2 linked regions of the Rhinolophus ferrumequinum genome follow. The protein of the gene in region 2 purifies or fractionates together with the protein of the main gene of each other region. This does not show direct contact. Links are inferred from orthologs where the notes say so. Each region holds a gene or a part of one and is shown on either strand. Other genes may lie near its edges.

Evidence for each region. The genes of interacting proteins can lie anywhere in the genome.
Region 1: the proteins of TRERF1 (region 2) and DNTTIP1 purify together in Homo sapiens (affinity purification with mass spectrometry; 3 studies listed by BioGRID and IntAct, with this or other methods). This does not show direct contact. The link is inferred for Rhinolophus ferrumequinum from reciprocal best matches to the Homo sapiens genes TRERF1 and DNTTIP1.

The regions. Positions count from the first base shown.
Region 1 is NC_046306.1:12,335,294-12,343,385, forward strand, and holds the start of DNTTIP1 (deoxynucleotidyltransferase terminal-interacting protein 1), read right to left. Parts: upstream 3,021-8,092; 5' UTR 2,951-3,020; coding exon 2,846-2,950; intron 2,272-2,845; coding exon 2,201-2,271; intron 1,483-2,200; coding exon 1,386-1,482; intron 1-1,385. Other genes in the region: WFDC3 (WAP four-disulfide core domain protein 3), read left to right, coding at 3,501-3,642, 4,857-5,087, 5,541-5,672, 6,326-6,472. UniProt on the Homo sapiens protein: Increases DNTT terminal deoxynucleotidyltransferase activity (in vitro). Also acts as a transcriptional regulator, binding to the consensus sequence 5'-GNTGCATG-3' following an AT-tract.
Region 2 is NC_046286.1:12,048,587-12,055,820, forward strand, and holds the start of TRERF1 (transcriptional-regulating factor 1), read right to left. Parts: upstream 3,127-7,234; 5' UTR 3,020-3,126; exon of another isoform or gene 2,588-3,019; intron 2,230-2,587; exon of another isoform or gene 2,173-2,229; 5' UTR 2,091-2,172; intron 1-2,090.

The sequences.
Region 1 (8,092 bases), on a different chromosome or scaffold from region 2:
GGGATTATAGTAGGAGCCTAGGTGAGAAATGAAATACTGAACCGAGCCAAGCAAGGAAGACGGGCCGCCTGACCATCATGTGGTGGAAACTACAGGACTCCACAAACGGGTAAGAAGAGGAAGGACAGGGCAGCGCACTTAGTTTCTGGTTTCTCAGTGGATGGTGGTCCCATTCGAACGTAACACATCCAAAACTGATTTCCCCTCTTCCTCATGGCAAGTCAACGGCAACTCTATTTCTTAGCTGCCCAGGGCAAATGAGTTGGGAGCCATTTACTTCTTTTTCTTTCACCTTGCACATCCCAATTATCGGCAACTCCTGTTGCTACCTTTAAAGTACAGAATCTGACTCCCAACATCTTCACCGCTAACACCCAAGCCACTGTCATCTCAAGCCTCCTAACTGGTCCTCCTATAGTCTATTCTCTATACAACGGTCAGAGTGACTCTTTAAGAAGGTTCAGATCATGTACTCTGCTCAAAACTCTCCAAGAGCTGCTATTTTACTCGTAATAAAACCTGAAGTCCTTCCCGTGGCTTCAAAGGTTCTGCACGAGCCAGGCTCGTTCTGTCTCTGATCACCTCTCCCCCTACTCTCCTCTGGCCCAGTCCACTCCAGCCACACTGGCTACCTGGTTGCTTTGAATGTGCCAAGGACACTCCTGCCTCAGGGCCTTTGCCCTTGTTCCTCTTCCGGGACTGCTCTTGCCCCAAATAAATATCTGCACAGCTTCTTTTCTTCACTTTATTCAGGTCTCTGCTCAAATGTCCTCTTCTCAGAGGGCTGTGCCAGCCACAATCTATCAAAATCACTCCCCTTGCTCCCCACTGGGCACTCTCTTCCCCTTCTCTCTGGCATTCCCTAACAAAGTACATGTTTGTTTAAAGAGGACAAAGACATTGTCCGTTTGTTCACTGTTACGTCCCACGGCCTAGAAGAGTGCCTGCCATTATGGGAGGCGCTCAGTAGATACTTCTTGAATGAATGAACAAACACAAGAGGAGGAGGTTTAGGAAGAAAAATGAAGAGTTCAGTTCAGAATATTCTGGGTTTGAAGTATCCATGGAGCATTGAGGTAGAACCACGTAGAAGTTTATAGTGCTAGAAAATAATTTTAAGTAATAACAATGGTGACATTACTAAATAGGTAATAAAAACATTTGTTATTTTCCAAGCGCAGATCTGAGCATTTCATCCTCACAATGGCTTCGCAAAAGAGGTATTCAAATTACCCCCACAGAGGGAAATAAGTTCTTGGGGGTTGAGAATTGGAAAACTTTAGAAATCTGTGTGTACTCGAGTAAGCCAGGGAGATTGCGATGCAGTCAAGGATGGCCCATGAATCTTTTTCCCTGTTAATGTTTTCTCTTTGTGTCCCTCTCACCTTCATGTACTTGTTGAAGACAGTCTGGATCTCCTCATTGATGCTAGGCTGCAGGACAGCTCGGAGGAGATCCATGGAGATGGCAGGATCTGTGAAACTGCATTCAGGAGGGAGACAGTCAGGCGACATGGCCCAAATATGTCCTTTCCTAGTCTGCCCAGCCTTTAATGACAATAATATACAGCTTTTTATTTTTAGATAACTAGCTATGTGCCCAGGTTGTGTAAAGCAGAGATGAATGACTTTATTTCATTCTCCTAACTCTGTGAAATGGGTACTATTTTTAACATGTTTTGTGAAGTATAACACTTATACAGAAAATTCTATTACAAATTGTTTTCGTGAATATCCATTTAATCACTACTCAGTTCAAGAAATATAATCAGCATCTCAAAGGCCCATCTCGTGCTCTCCTTTCCTTTTTATTATTTGATGATGATTATTATTTTATTATTTATTATTCATTATGACCCTATTACCACAGGATAATAGTACCCTGTGGATACTACTGGCCACACTTTTTTCTTAACTTCCATGCTACCCTGTCTTTTTAGAGCCCTCGAACACAGTCACAAGTGTTAGGATCTTAGGGGTTGTTTAATTCACCTATCCCCCCTCATTTGGTACATGAGTTCAGAGGGGGAAGTGACTTGCTCAAGGTCACACAGAGTTACAGAATCTGAGTCTCCTCTTTCCTAGTCCAGTGCTCTTTCTATTGGCTGATGATTTCTTCTCAGCCCCGTGCAACGGGGATCCCCCAAGCTGCCTTTCCAGCCAGTGCCTGGGAGGTAAGTCCCACCCAGGGTCAGGCTTACCTTGTTGTCATCTGTGAGCGGCGGCCCCTTCGCTGCACCTGCCGGTGCTTTATCATTATGTTCCAAGGGTTCTGTGGGGACCAAGGGAGCAGATGTCACCGAGGTCTGTGACACTGGGGTGGAGGTGGACGGTGGGTATGCAGTTAAACCTAGACAGCCCTGCTTCTCAGGTGCTTTCACCACCTCTCCCACCTTGGGGTCTGGGGAAGGGCCGTGGTTGGAAGCCCCTGCAGGGGAAGAGAAACTCAGGGAAAGTTTCCTGCCTCAAAAATCCCGACTCCACCTTTTCAGGAACGGCTAGAAGAAGGGAACCAGTGTTCACCGAGGGCCTACTCTGGGACAGATGATGCGCTGGGCGCTTTACCTGCATTTATAACCCATCCCAACAACCTTATGAGGCAGGTACTAATCTCTGTTTTACAGCATAAGAACTGGGGTTCAGGAACTTGACAGGACTGGCCCACGTCACCTAACTAGGAGGGCGGCACCTAGAATTTGAATCCAGGTCTTCGGATTGTGAAAACGCCAACCCTCTCGGCAGCGCCGGCTGCCGCGTTCTCTCGTCCGCGGGCCGGGGTCCTGGGAGCCCGAGGCCCAGCCGGCCCGAGCCCAGGCCCGGCCCGGCCTCTCCAGGGGCGCCCTCACCGTGAGAACCAGCTGACCCGCTGCGCCCGCGTCTCCCCGCTCGGGGCCGCCCCGCTCTGCCCCGCCAGGTCCCCGCGGCTGCTCGGCGTCGCCAGTGGCCCCCATGGCGTCCCTGACCCTTACAACTTCAGCCCGACTCTGCCACCGGCCGGAAAGTGGCTGTGTGACGTCACTGGAGCGCGTCGGCCGCGGACCCGGAAGCACGACGAGGCGAGCTGCGCGGTTACCATGGCAACCAAACGGCCGCGTGTTGCCAAACACCCTGATGCTTAGAGGCCTTATGTGTGTGTGTGGGTGGTCGGGGCTTCCTCCAGGGAGGGGCCGCGTCGCAGGTGTGGACTGGGGATGATCATTCAAGGATTGTTCTCGGGCTGGAGAAGTGCCAGGCAGACGAAGGGGAGCAGGTTTCAATGGTCTGGGGTTGGAGAGCGGAGGGGAGCGTTTTTTGTACAGCGGCGCCTGCAGTTCAGTCTTTGAAAACGGTAGATTTTAATGTGCTGCGTATTTAGCCTCCGGAACTGGAGTGGGCTTAATGCGGGGTCCCGGAAACCCGATAGCAGGAGGAGGTTTGGCCCATGCTACTCCTAGCACTCACCCACCAGGTCTCTCCAAGCCTGGACCCTAGGGGCTGCCTCTTGCATCTGAAGACATCAGAATGAAGACTTGGACCATGGATTCCCCGAGCCCCAGGGAGCTGGGCTTCTCTACCCAGACTGGTGGTGATTCTAGGATGGGCCGGGGTAGCAAGGGTTTAACAGCTGTGAAGTTTCCCGGGGCTCCCCTTAGCTCTCCTTTAGGTAAGACGACCCTGAATAAAATTTGAGCGATATATCGGTGGTAGAGAAAATTACTTTTCCCAGGTCACAATATAGGGTAGTAGAAAGTGCATGAGTTTTGCAGTTAGAAAGATCTGAGTTCAAATTCAGTGTGATGTGATGATTAAGAACTATGGAATTGGACTGCCTACCTTTGTTCTACCACTTACTAGTTGTGACTAACGTTTCTTTCGGTGCCTCAATCTCCCTATCTGTAGAATGGGGATAATTCATGTAAAGCACTTAGAACTATGGCACAAGTAAACCCTCAAACAATGCTATCTGTTGTTACTGTTATTAGATTCCAGCAGCCACCACTTGCCACCACTTATGACCTTGGGCAATTTTTCTCAGCCCCTCTGAACCACTTTTCTTACCTCTGCACGATTATTGTGAGGATTAAAATAAATAATGTATGCAAAGCACATATTAGGTCATCAACAAAAGTTAATCATCTCCATGCTCCAATATCTGTCTTAAAACAGTAAGGCGACTTCCTGGCACAGAACTCTTTGGCGCTATTGAGAAGGTTTTTACCTTGAGCCTTGAATATTCCCTGCCCTTTAACATCACTGGGCTAAGCGGTGCAGTGAACACTATTCGATATCATGATTGACTAAAGTCATAAGCAGTTAGAGAAAAATAAAAAGAAATAGAGCAAGAGGAGATAAAAGGAATATACATACATGGTTTACACTACAAAAGTCATAACAATTGTTCTTTGGGGTTCTGTCAACTAGCCTTCACATGGTCCAAGAGTGGTCTATGTGGACCAGAGAGACCAAGATACAGGGTTTTTTGTGCATTTGTATTAGTTCTGAACATTTAACTCAAATATGGCTTTTCTGTAGCCTTTTGATAGTTTCTAAGTAGTCTGTCCCATTCTCTGTTTTCTAGTTTGCTAGGGTGATAGGAGAAGTCACAGTACATCTTATTAGCTGTGGTTATTTTCTTGTTAACTCTCTGGTCCTTCCCTCTGTCATTGCAGCGGTAGTCGTGTCCTTCCAAGGCCCTTTCACTCTCTCTTTGATCCTTTGTTCAATGGCCATCCCTGTATTTTCCCAGGGTCTTCATCAGTGTCCACGGGTGTTGCATATATTGCATGACAGAGTTTGATCACCATCATCACATGTGCCCTTTGGTAGTGCCAGGAATCTTCCCACACACCAGCAACCAATCATTTTTCTTCTTGTCAGGAGCAGCCATCCTTGGGGACTGTTGCGAAAGGGAAGACTTCGGGGCTGGGCGGAAGCTGGTCTCCCGGTCCTGCCTTCCCTCGGTTGATACTCCGGGCAAGGGGCACACCCCCGGCCTGGACCGAGCTCTCCTCTCGGCACTCAGCATGATCATCATGAGCTGCCTCTTCCTCCTGAATGCACTTCTTGCTCTTGGGTCCCTGACACCCTGGGTGACTGCAGGAGAGCATGGTGAGCTATCATTTGGGATCCCTGGCTAACAGGAACAGGGCGTGACTAGAGAAGTCATTCCCTGCCTCCCCACAGTGAGGGGCCTCATTCGTGGAGATGGCCATCTCTGCAGGATGGGACTGGATGCAGAGTCTTGGGACAGCCAGGGTGGGTCTTCCTGGCTTTTTTTACCTTCCCTGGCCAAGAAGATAGTATTGCCAGTCTGCCTTTCTCCTAGGGTTCCTTAAGAAAGAATAGGATCACCCCAACCTTTCCATCTGCAGAATGGCTGGTTCTTTAGTAGGTGTGTGTGTGTGTGTGTGTGTGTGTGTGTGTGTGTGCTTGCATAGGAGGGGGAAGTGTTTAGATAGGAGTGCTTGGAGAGGCTGAAAGTCCTTGAAGTACATTTGGCTTCCATTCCCCATTTCTTGAGGCCTGGCCAGTTATCCTAACCTTGTGTGATATCCTTTGCAGTGAAAGAAGGAGAATGCCCTCCTGATAAGAACCCGTGCAAAGATCTGTGCCAGGGGGATGAATCGTGTCCAGCTGGACAGAAGTGCTGCTGCACAGGCTGTGGTCGAGTCTGCCAAGGAGACATTCCTAAGGGTACGTAGGCATGAGGGGCAAAACCCAAGTGTGCTTTCTAAAGGAAGACCCAGAGGGCTTCCTATATTCTAGATTGGCTCTAGAAATCTAGCTTGCCTAGAGCACCTCTTCTTTCTGCTTTTGGGGTCTCTTCTGCTTTAATCACTCAGTATCCCCAGGTCTTTGCCTTTTGTCAGGAAAAAGCACAGGACTGATTATCTCTGTCTTTTACTTTGAACTCAGCGTTCCTGGGAAGGCTGGAGGGCAGAGTTATGAAGGGAAGCCTGTTTAAGATAGTGATGAAAGGAGTACCCTTGAGCCAGGCAGACCTTCTTAAGCCTTACATAAGCCTTACATAGCTCTTTTTAAGTGTTAAGTTTTTAAGCAGTCAATTTCCTCATCTGTAAAACGGGGATAATTGTTTGTGCCTCATAGAATTGTTGCAAGGACCTAATGAGGTTCCCTGGCACAATGTAAGCGTAGTAAGCGTTACAGTAAACGTGAGCTGTTTTCCTTGCGGTCGTCATTGTCTCTCTTTAGCACCAGGGCGGAGAGTCCTAAATGAAGTTGGGGCTTCCTTCCTCTGATTTTCCCATTTTCCCATCTGCTGTGCCTGTGGGTGTCACTGGGCACCATTATCTCTTTTTTTGTGGCTGTCTCCTGTTTCGCTACAGGGAGGAAGGGAGATTGTCCCAAGGTTGTTCGGAAACAATCCTGTTTTAAAAGGTGCGTCACTGATGAGACATGTCCAGGCGTAAAGAAATGCTGCCCGTTTGGCTGTGACAAGAGCTGTGTAGTTCCAATCTCCAAACCAAAGCTGGGTAAGAAGCTCCGCCCGGGCCCCACGGTCGGCTTGGCCCCCTTATTTGTCTCAAATATGCACATACCATTTTGTGGTTGGTTGTACTGTACTCTGAAAAACAATAAGTGCCTCCTCTATTCTAGACCTTTTCTAAGAAAAGATATACAAAGGGTACCCAGGCCATGATGGGTGGTGGTATGTGTTCGAGGCAGGCAAAGGAGGATGCCAGAAGGGAAATCTTGGCATCTCTTGTTCTGGGGCAGATTTAAAAGCTGTTGGGTAGTTTCCAGTTGATACCTATGCAGGACTGCACACATTTCCCCACTCACTTGCTTCTGAGACTCTGTCTCCTCTGTCCACACACAGGATAGCCATCGCCTGTTGGAAACGGGTTCGATTTTATTCTGATGCTGATAGAGAGGTGTTTGAAAGGGATTTCTTCTCCCTCTTGCAGGATCCTCATGACCTAGTTCTCCATTTCTGCATCATTCCTTTAAGAAATATTTATTGATCCAGTGGTGGGTTCTGGGTATAATGTGGTGAGCAAAGCAGATCCAGTCCCTGCCTTCATGGGGCTCATAGACTAGGGGACGGGGGAGAAAGAGGCTTAACAAATAAGTATGCAAGTAAATATATAATTTCAAACCGTAACCAGGACATGGAGGAAAATTAAAGGGTGCTGAGAGATAGAATAACGCGGGACTCACTTTACATGGGGTGGTCAAGGAAGGCCTGTGTGAGATAGTGACATTTAACCTGTGACCTGGAGTTGAAGTTAGCCAGGTGAAGATGTGATACACATTCCAGGAAGAGAGAAGCAAGCTGAGAAGGAACTTGCCACGCTTAAGGAACTGAAAGAAAGCTGGTGTGGTTGGAGTAGAGACAGGCAGAGAGAGAATGACTCCAGGTGAGGACAGAGTCCGTTAGAATAGGGAGGTGACAGTGGGGATAGAGAAAAGGTGACATGGTTGAGAGAATTGGAAGGTAGAAGTGACAGAGCTGTCTGCTCTAGTCCTTGCCTCCTGCCCCATTTCCTTGAGAGGCCCCCAAAAGGCATTAGAAATTCTGATTTGTCTCCTGTGACTAGCCCCTTCTCATTTCTCTCGTGTTTCAGGATTTTCATGGCTACTTTTGCTTGCTGTGCTTCCAAATATATTTTATTATCATATTGTCTATTCCCTTCTCCCTCCAAAATATGAAGACTACTTTTATTAAAGAGGTGTTCGATGTAAAAATTAACTTAGGGAGCATTGACATTTTTGTAATGTTGAATCTTTATGTCGTCCCATTGTTCAAGTGTATTTGGTGTATTTCAGGGTGTTTTCTAGTTTTAAAGTATTTCTTGATAAGTTAATGCCTAGGTTATTTAATTACCTTCTTTGCTATCTCAAATGGGGTCTTCCGTTATGTCTTCCATTATGTTTTCTAAAGGAACTGGAACCATTCTCTAATCTGAGTACATGTGACAGCATATTACAATGAAAAAGCATAGATTTTTGTTGCCAGAGATTTATTTGGGTTCAAGCCTGAGGCTCACCAGTTACTCGCCAGTGGGTCCTGGGTCAGTAATTTCTTCTGCTTCTCTGAGTCTCAGTTCACTTCACTGTAAAACAGAAAGAATGACCCTCGGAGGCTGTAA
Region 2 (7,234 bases):
AGGGGGCAAAACTGAGCACTTTCCACGCACACAACAACTTGCTGTTTTCGCAGCAAGTTCACAGAAACGCTATGTGATATTAACACATGCCTCTACGTGAAAGCCTGATTACAAAGCTGTGAAAAGCCCCATGTTTACTATGGAACCTGTAAAAATTAATCTTCTCAGTGCCTATAAAGCAGAAAGGACATGCTCTTTTTTGAGATGTCAAGCTGGCTTCTAAACAATCCTTCAGCAAAAATGGACATGCCTAAAAGGGTGGGGCCCAAAGAGGTGTGTCACTCCCGGTATCAATTCCTATAAATCAAATCCTGAAAAATCACCGCAATATTTTAAAAAAGGATGAATTATGATTCATGGGCCTTTATTACCACAAGAACATCCCCAGCAGAAGAGGCGGGAAAAAAGCTACTGTCAATTGATTAATGGCCAAAGCAAGACAATAAAATAAATCTCATAAATATAAGGAAAAACCACTGAAGGGCTGTTCTTGGCTTCGAGGGTAGGCATGACAATAATTCCACGATCCTGGGATAAACACACATAAAGATCATGTTTACCCTTCCAGCACACACACCAACCAGACTCCGATTTTCAGCAGGGTAAAAATAATAGCTAATTTGTTTAACTAATGCTTAGTTAGGAACATTTGATAAATGGCAATAATATTTAATTTCCAACAAACTCAACTGTCAAGCTGCCAATATCAAATTCTCAGTCTGGAAATCTGATGGCAGGAAAGAAAGGAAAACAGTCTGTCTGTCCATCAGTAACATGTAGAGAGCTTTTTTCCCCCCTGCTATTACTGAGTCTGGTTACAGAACAACAGAAAGCTTAACCAACTTTTCGTTAACCGCACTGTCTAGAGTTTACCCTGACCCTACTAAACATGCCTGGGTTTGTACCTCTTGCTGCTAACATTACCCTGGCAAGCTCAAACTCCCAGCATCATCCAGGTACCTGACAGAACTACAACCCATCTGCAGAAACCAGTAGGCTGAGAACCAGGGACACAGAGGCAAGCAGAAGCAAAGACTGCTGTTTAACTAGTTAACTGCTGAGTACTCTGGCTTGCTATAATTCCAGTGGGCATCAAAACCACATCCTCCCTCACCAGGCTGCTGTCTTGAAACAGTTAATGATGCAGGAGGTTGGTACCAACTAGGACAACTACAAACTCCTTTCTGAAAGCTCTTCTCCACGGTCTGCTAAAAAGTGCATCTAGCCGGCTTTCGGGAGGCATTTTTTAAAGAACTCTTCAGCCATCCCTGGATCCCTCGTTCCTAAGCATCACTTCCATGCACTTCACAAGACAACCCAGGCCATGCTGTCAGCAACCGGCTTCAGCACGTTCACTTACCAAAGCCGCGTCTAGCTGGGAAGAGTTTCCACAAAGCTGGCTCTAACCGGCCAGTCGAAGGCACACGGAGGAACCAGAAGTCATTTTCTTTTAACCTAAGGATGGCAGGCGCACATGCAGCCCAGGGCTGACCAGAGGTTGCCGGCCAGGTGCTCTCGGCCTCCGCCAGTGAATGGGTGGTTTTGTGTTGTTTTCTAATATCTATTTCTTCAGACCAGCAGCAGCAACTTCCCAGTCTCCCAAATTGAAGTTTGGGGAGTTGAGGGGCAGGTTTACCCCTCACACATTTCTCCCATCTAGGTGGCCACTTTAACTTCTGGGGGGTACCCAGCCCCCACAGAGCCCACAGGCGCATATACATACACACATGCATCATGTCAAAAACCCCAAAAGGCACATCCCTAGGGTCCTGCGGTTTCTTGGCTGGAAGAATGAAGGCTTTATAACATCACAACCTTCAATTGCAAGCCCCACCACCACCCTTTAGGCCGGGGCTGCCAATTATAGCGCCCACCTCACCCCTCCCCCTTTGCTGGGATGCCGTGCAGCCCAGAGAGGGAAGAAGGGAAGCAGAGAGAAGGCCCTGCTAACATACTCAAAGTAAAGAAATGGGGGGAGACTTTCCCTTCTCTGTCCCCCACTTTATCCCTTCCCCTCCCCCACCCCCGTCTTCTCACGGAGCATCCCCCAACTAATTTTTTTAAAAATGAAACTTAAGCTTCTTGCCTACCTTGGCTGTTTCTGCAACAAGTGCATGGGCAATCCGACAAGACCAATCTCCGCTCGGGGGGTGCGATGGGGGGCGAGCAAAGCTGATGGAGTAATTTCAATATTAATTTATGTCAGAGCCGCCTTCTCGAAGCGCTACTCACTTACAGTACTGCCCGCAGCCTGTAAACAAATATCGCTCCGCCAGGAAACATACTCCCCAGATGTAAGCCCCTCTCCCCAGCAGGGAACCTGGCCCCTGGCCCCCCTCCAACAGCGCGTGCTCCCCCACCCCCGGTAGGAAGCTCCGGGTTTTCAAAGCACCAACCCACCACCTCCGCCACCACCCTAGCAAGAAACTTACTCGGTCCGTCTACGCCTCCACCCTCCCTTCAGGAAATCTACTCTCCATATGCATTCAGCCTCCCCGCAGGAAATCTGCTCCCCCCTCCCCCCTTCTATATACATGCACCCCTCCCTCTCCTCCTCCCCACGCGCCCTCCCCGGCCAGAAACTTACTAGCAAGCAAGCGTGCAGGCTCTCCTGATCCTGGAAACTTACTCCCAGATATAACGCCCGCCAGCCCCCTTCCCGGCCCTGCTCCCCTTCCTGTCCTCCGCCGCAAGCAACTCCAAACTCTCCGCATCCAGCCACTCTCCCTCCCCCGTGAAAATTTGCAGCGCGGGGCCGCGCGCGTGCATCCACCCTCCCCTTCAGGAAACTTACTCCCCATCTGCATGCACCGCCTCTCAGCCATCGCTTAGAGGGAAGGGGGTGTGCTAGGGAGACAGAAATACATATGTATCTCTCGCCCCTCCCCCGGCCGCAGCCCACTCGGGGCCGAGCCGCGGTAACCTGGCCTTACCTTTTGCATTGCTCCCCAGCCTCGCCCCCTCCCTTAACCCTCCTTATCCGCTCCCCGGCGCCCCCCTTTTTTCACCCATTACCCACCCCTAGCAACCGTTCCCAAGCTCCTCTCGGCCTTTTTTTTTTTTTTAATCCAGGATGCAAATTCCTCCCCTGTCAGCAAATCGACTGTCAAATTATTTTCTTGCAAAAGGAGAAAGGCGGAGTGGGGGGGGGGGGAGCAGAAGCAAAAAAAGGGGGGAGGGCGGGAGAAGGGAGAGAGGGGGACAGAGGAGGGGAGAGATATCCCTCCGCAGAGCTGGGTCTGGCCGCGGGCGGGGAAGCAGGAAGTAAGGTGTCCAGCGCCGCGGCCGGCGAGTCCTCAGCCCCGTCCCCCGCCCGCGCCCCCTGTCCCCCGGGGCACCGCGCTCGGGCAGGCGCGGGCCGTCCGGCGCATTGTTCGCAATCTTCCCGGCGATGCGCCGCCGACCTTATTTGTGTGCTCTGCATGTGCGTGAGGTTGCACCTTTTGTAGGCTGGAGAGACTCTGGACGAGGATGGGGCGGGGGACGCGGACCGAGTTGCGGCCGGGCGCGGGACCTGTCAGCCCCGAGGTGTGGCAGACTCTCCGGCGTAGCCGGAAAATCGAGGCCCAGGAGAAGGCGGCGTGGCCGGGAAGCTGCCGCCTTAAACCCAGACCAGTGCAGGATTGCTTCCTGCGTAGCCGTCCCGGTTATTGTAACGCGCTTTGCAATCTAACGACTGGGGTTTGGCTTTTTGGCTTATTTTGTTAAAAGGGCTCTAAAGATACCAAGGTCTAGATGGGCTGCGGGGAGACGGTCTGCGTCTACCCCCACTGCACCCCCGCCTCGGAGGGGCTGGGAGAGGAGTCGGGGCTCCCGGGAAGGGGCTGGAGGTTCGTGAAGCGCGCGGCTCCATCCCTCCGCCCCGGTGGGGGCGGGGAGCGGGTGCTGCAGGCGGCGCTGGAAACGCAGCTCTCTGGGGAGGGGGTCTCCATCTCCGCGGCGCAGTAGGCTGGGGAGGGAGGTTGCCTAGGAGAGGGGCCGGGCCGGGCGGCGGAGGGGAGGGGGCGCGGGTGCAGCCGCGACGCGGGCTCGCCCCTCCTCGCGCGCCATGACTGTGGAACGTGGTGCCGGGGAGGAGGGACGGCCGCCGGGGGCCGCCCGGGCCGCTCGGCATTGGTGCGGAAACCCGAGCCGGGAGTCGCTCCTCGCTCTGTCTCCTCCTCCTCTGCGGGGGAAACCGCTGCACCCAAACCGAGAGCAGCTGCGAGCAGGGGGCAGGGCGCGGGCTGAAAGGCGAGCTCAGGGTTCAAACCTCGGCGGCGCCAGGAGGGCGAGACCGGGACAGCCCCCAGGTCCCGCGAAGGCTCTGCGGCCTCGGCCTCTCGGTTCAGCCCAGGACCCCAGCATTTCCAGGCTTCTTTCCTGGTCCCAGGAAACGTGAACCAAAGATGGTTCAGCTCAGCAGACCACCTCGAGCCAGGTTCGAGGTATCCACGGCGGCGAGTCTTTTTTGCTCAAGGGAAAGTTAAACCATGCTTTTTGCAGAATGGGGAGATCGTGGCGCCCCTTCCCTCAAATCTCACGCAGGATAAATAAGGTTCTCCCGCTCCCCAGGCCATCGCCACTATCCCCCACCCTACCCCCACTCGGCGATGGGTGTGGACAGGGCGGGGGAAGGCTATAAGGGAGCTTAAAGCGTGAGGTCATGGACCCAGGAGTCTGCTGCCAAAAGCGGCCGAGGTTTTTGTGTATTTTGAGGGGTAACGGTTCTCCATCTTCAACAGTGGTAAGTTCTCTCGCATAACCCTACCAATTTGGGGGCACCTGGGCCAGAGCCCCCGAAAGAGGAGCGAGCTCTGGGCTGTTTTGCTCAATGAGAATTTGGCCGGCGCCCAGCCCCCTGTGGGGCCCTTCCACATAAGCAGAGAAAATCGAGGGATAGCGCCCAGTGTCGCGGAGACAGAAAGGCTCGGATGCTCGGTCCTCGCCCCCACCCCCTTCCTCAGTCGTCGGTCATCTTCCAACCCGACTGCTTTCTGTGATAGCCTCCTATCCCTGATCCATTCTTCCCAAGAGCGGCTAGAGGAGTCTCTAAAACTCCTGACTACATTCTTCCAAACCCCTCCCAATTTCTCTTAGAATAAAGCCAAGCTCTGAAGCCCCCTTGTGATTTCGCCTCTACGGACCACTTCACCCTCACAGCTCCTCCTCCTATACCGTAAGCGGGTCGTGCTTCTTTGTTCTGGGGCTGGAGGGTGGGGTGAGGGACGCTAACCCTTCCCTGTCCACTTCTTACTAACTCCTGCTAAACCTTCAGGACTCAACTGTCACTACCTCTAAGAAGCCTTCCTGAGGATACAATAATCTCTAACTCCCTCAAGGAAAAAGACCTACCCTAGACCTCCAGGCAGTGGTCGGAGCTGGCCCCAGTGGCAGCCCTTTTCTAAGCGAAGGAGTGATTGCCGAGCTCTAAAAGCGCGATCATTGCCTGGGGGCCTGACCTCCTGGTAGGGAATTGGCCAGGACAGACCCTCAAAACACCCTATTAACTCAAGAGACCTGAGAAAAGCAGCGCACTGCCCAGAAACCTCTCCACCTCCCACCCCCCAGCACACACCCACACCCATGGTACTGCGAGGAGAGGTCTTTTAATCTATAAAACTCCTCCCCGGCACAGATAAGGAACCTGAAGCTAAGGGGGAGTGAGTAAATTGCCCGAGGTCAATGAGGAAATTCACACCCCGGTCTTTCCTGCTCCTAAACCAGAAGCTGTAGAGAAGGGAGGATTTGGGATTTGGGACTCAAAGTATTGCTGCTACACAGCTAAGGATGCTTGTGTAACCGTCAAAGGACCACTACGTGATTGGCCCGCTGCCAACCGAGAGGTAGTATGGCCTAACGGTCAGTCTGCAGTCTCTTGGGCAAGTTACTTAATCTTACTTGGTTCTGTTTCTTTGCCTGTAAAATCAGAATAATGATACCTACAGTTAGTAGTAGTATGAGATTTAAATTAGTTAATATACATAAAGCCCTTAGAACAGTTCTTATGCAAGTTCTTGATTATTTGTGAGTGGGATTTTATGCTCCCTCCCTTCCCAAGGACTCTAGAAAATAAGGTCTCCAGATTCTTAAGTGATTTAAGTATCAGAAATGATCTATGGCCTAAAAACCTGGGAAATGCACAGACAATCCATACAGACACCTTATTTAGCCAATAGATTCAAACCTCAACAATGCATTTGCTTAAAGACAATCCAAGGGGTGAACAATCCCAAATCTGACTGGTGGTTGTGGACTCAATGAGTGTCAGGGAGGATGACTGAAATTGAAAACTTACCTTGGGTCTTTGAGATCAGAGTCAGGCATAAATAGTCCCAGTCCTGGTGCAAGTCCTGCCCTGTATGACCAAAGCTCTCCCAGGGCTGCAAAAACTGTAAGGGGATTATTTTTATTATCATTAGATTCTAGTCTTCCCATTCTCAGCACTTACCCCACTGGTAAAAGAGGTTTTTTAAAATACAATTCATTTTTTGGAACATGTTGAATGCATTCACATAGCTCCAAATTCAAATATTGAAAAGTCAAAAAAAAAAAAAAGTCTCTCCCGCCCCGACTGCCACCCAATGGTTTTCCCTCTGTGGAGACAACCCGGGTTAGCCTTCAGGAGGCATTTAACTGTTTTTCCAAGTGAGGCCTCAGGAAAACTCCTTGGGTGCCTACTTAATACTTTATGTCCAGGGCTCCCTTCTCTAATCCAGGCAGAATCATTACCATACTCCCACCCTTCCCAGCCCTTCAGCCTCAGTCCCAAACAGGTTGTATCAACAATGGTGAACCATTGTTTCCTGAGTTACTGACAAAAGCAAACACTTCATGGTTCTTTCTCCTCCTCTGCACTAATAATATTCACTAAGATTTATCAAGTGCTTTTTATGTGCCAAGCACTGCTGAGACATGCATTATCCTATTTAATCAGCCCCAAACCATCATCATTACAGTATTCTTATTTTACAGATGCAGACAGAAGTGGAGGATCAGAGAGATTACATAACTTGTTCCAATTTTCATCCAGGCCAACCTGAGCCCGAAACCTCTGTCTTAACCACTTGCCTCTCTCTGCAACAAAGAAAAAATTCTGGGAGCCTGAGGAGAAGGAATAAAATAGAGTCTTTGGACTTGAGCAGACCTTAGTTCAAATTCTGAGTCTGGCCCCCACCAGCAATGAGATCTTGGAGAGGTTTCTTAACTTCTCTCAGCCCCAGGTCACCCACCTTTGAACTGGGACCATACATTT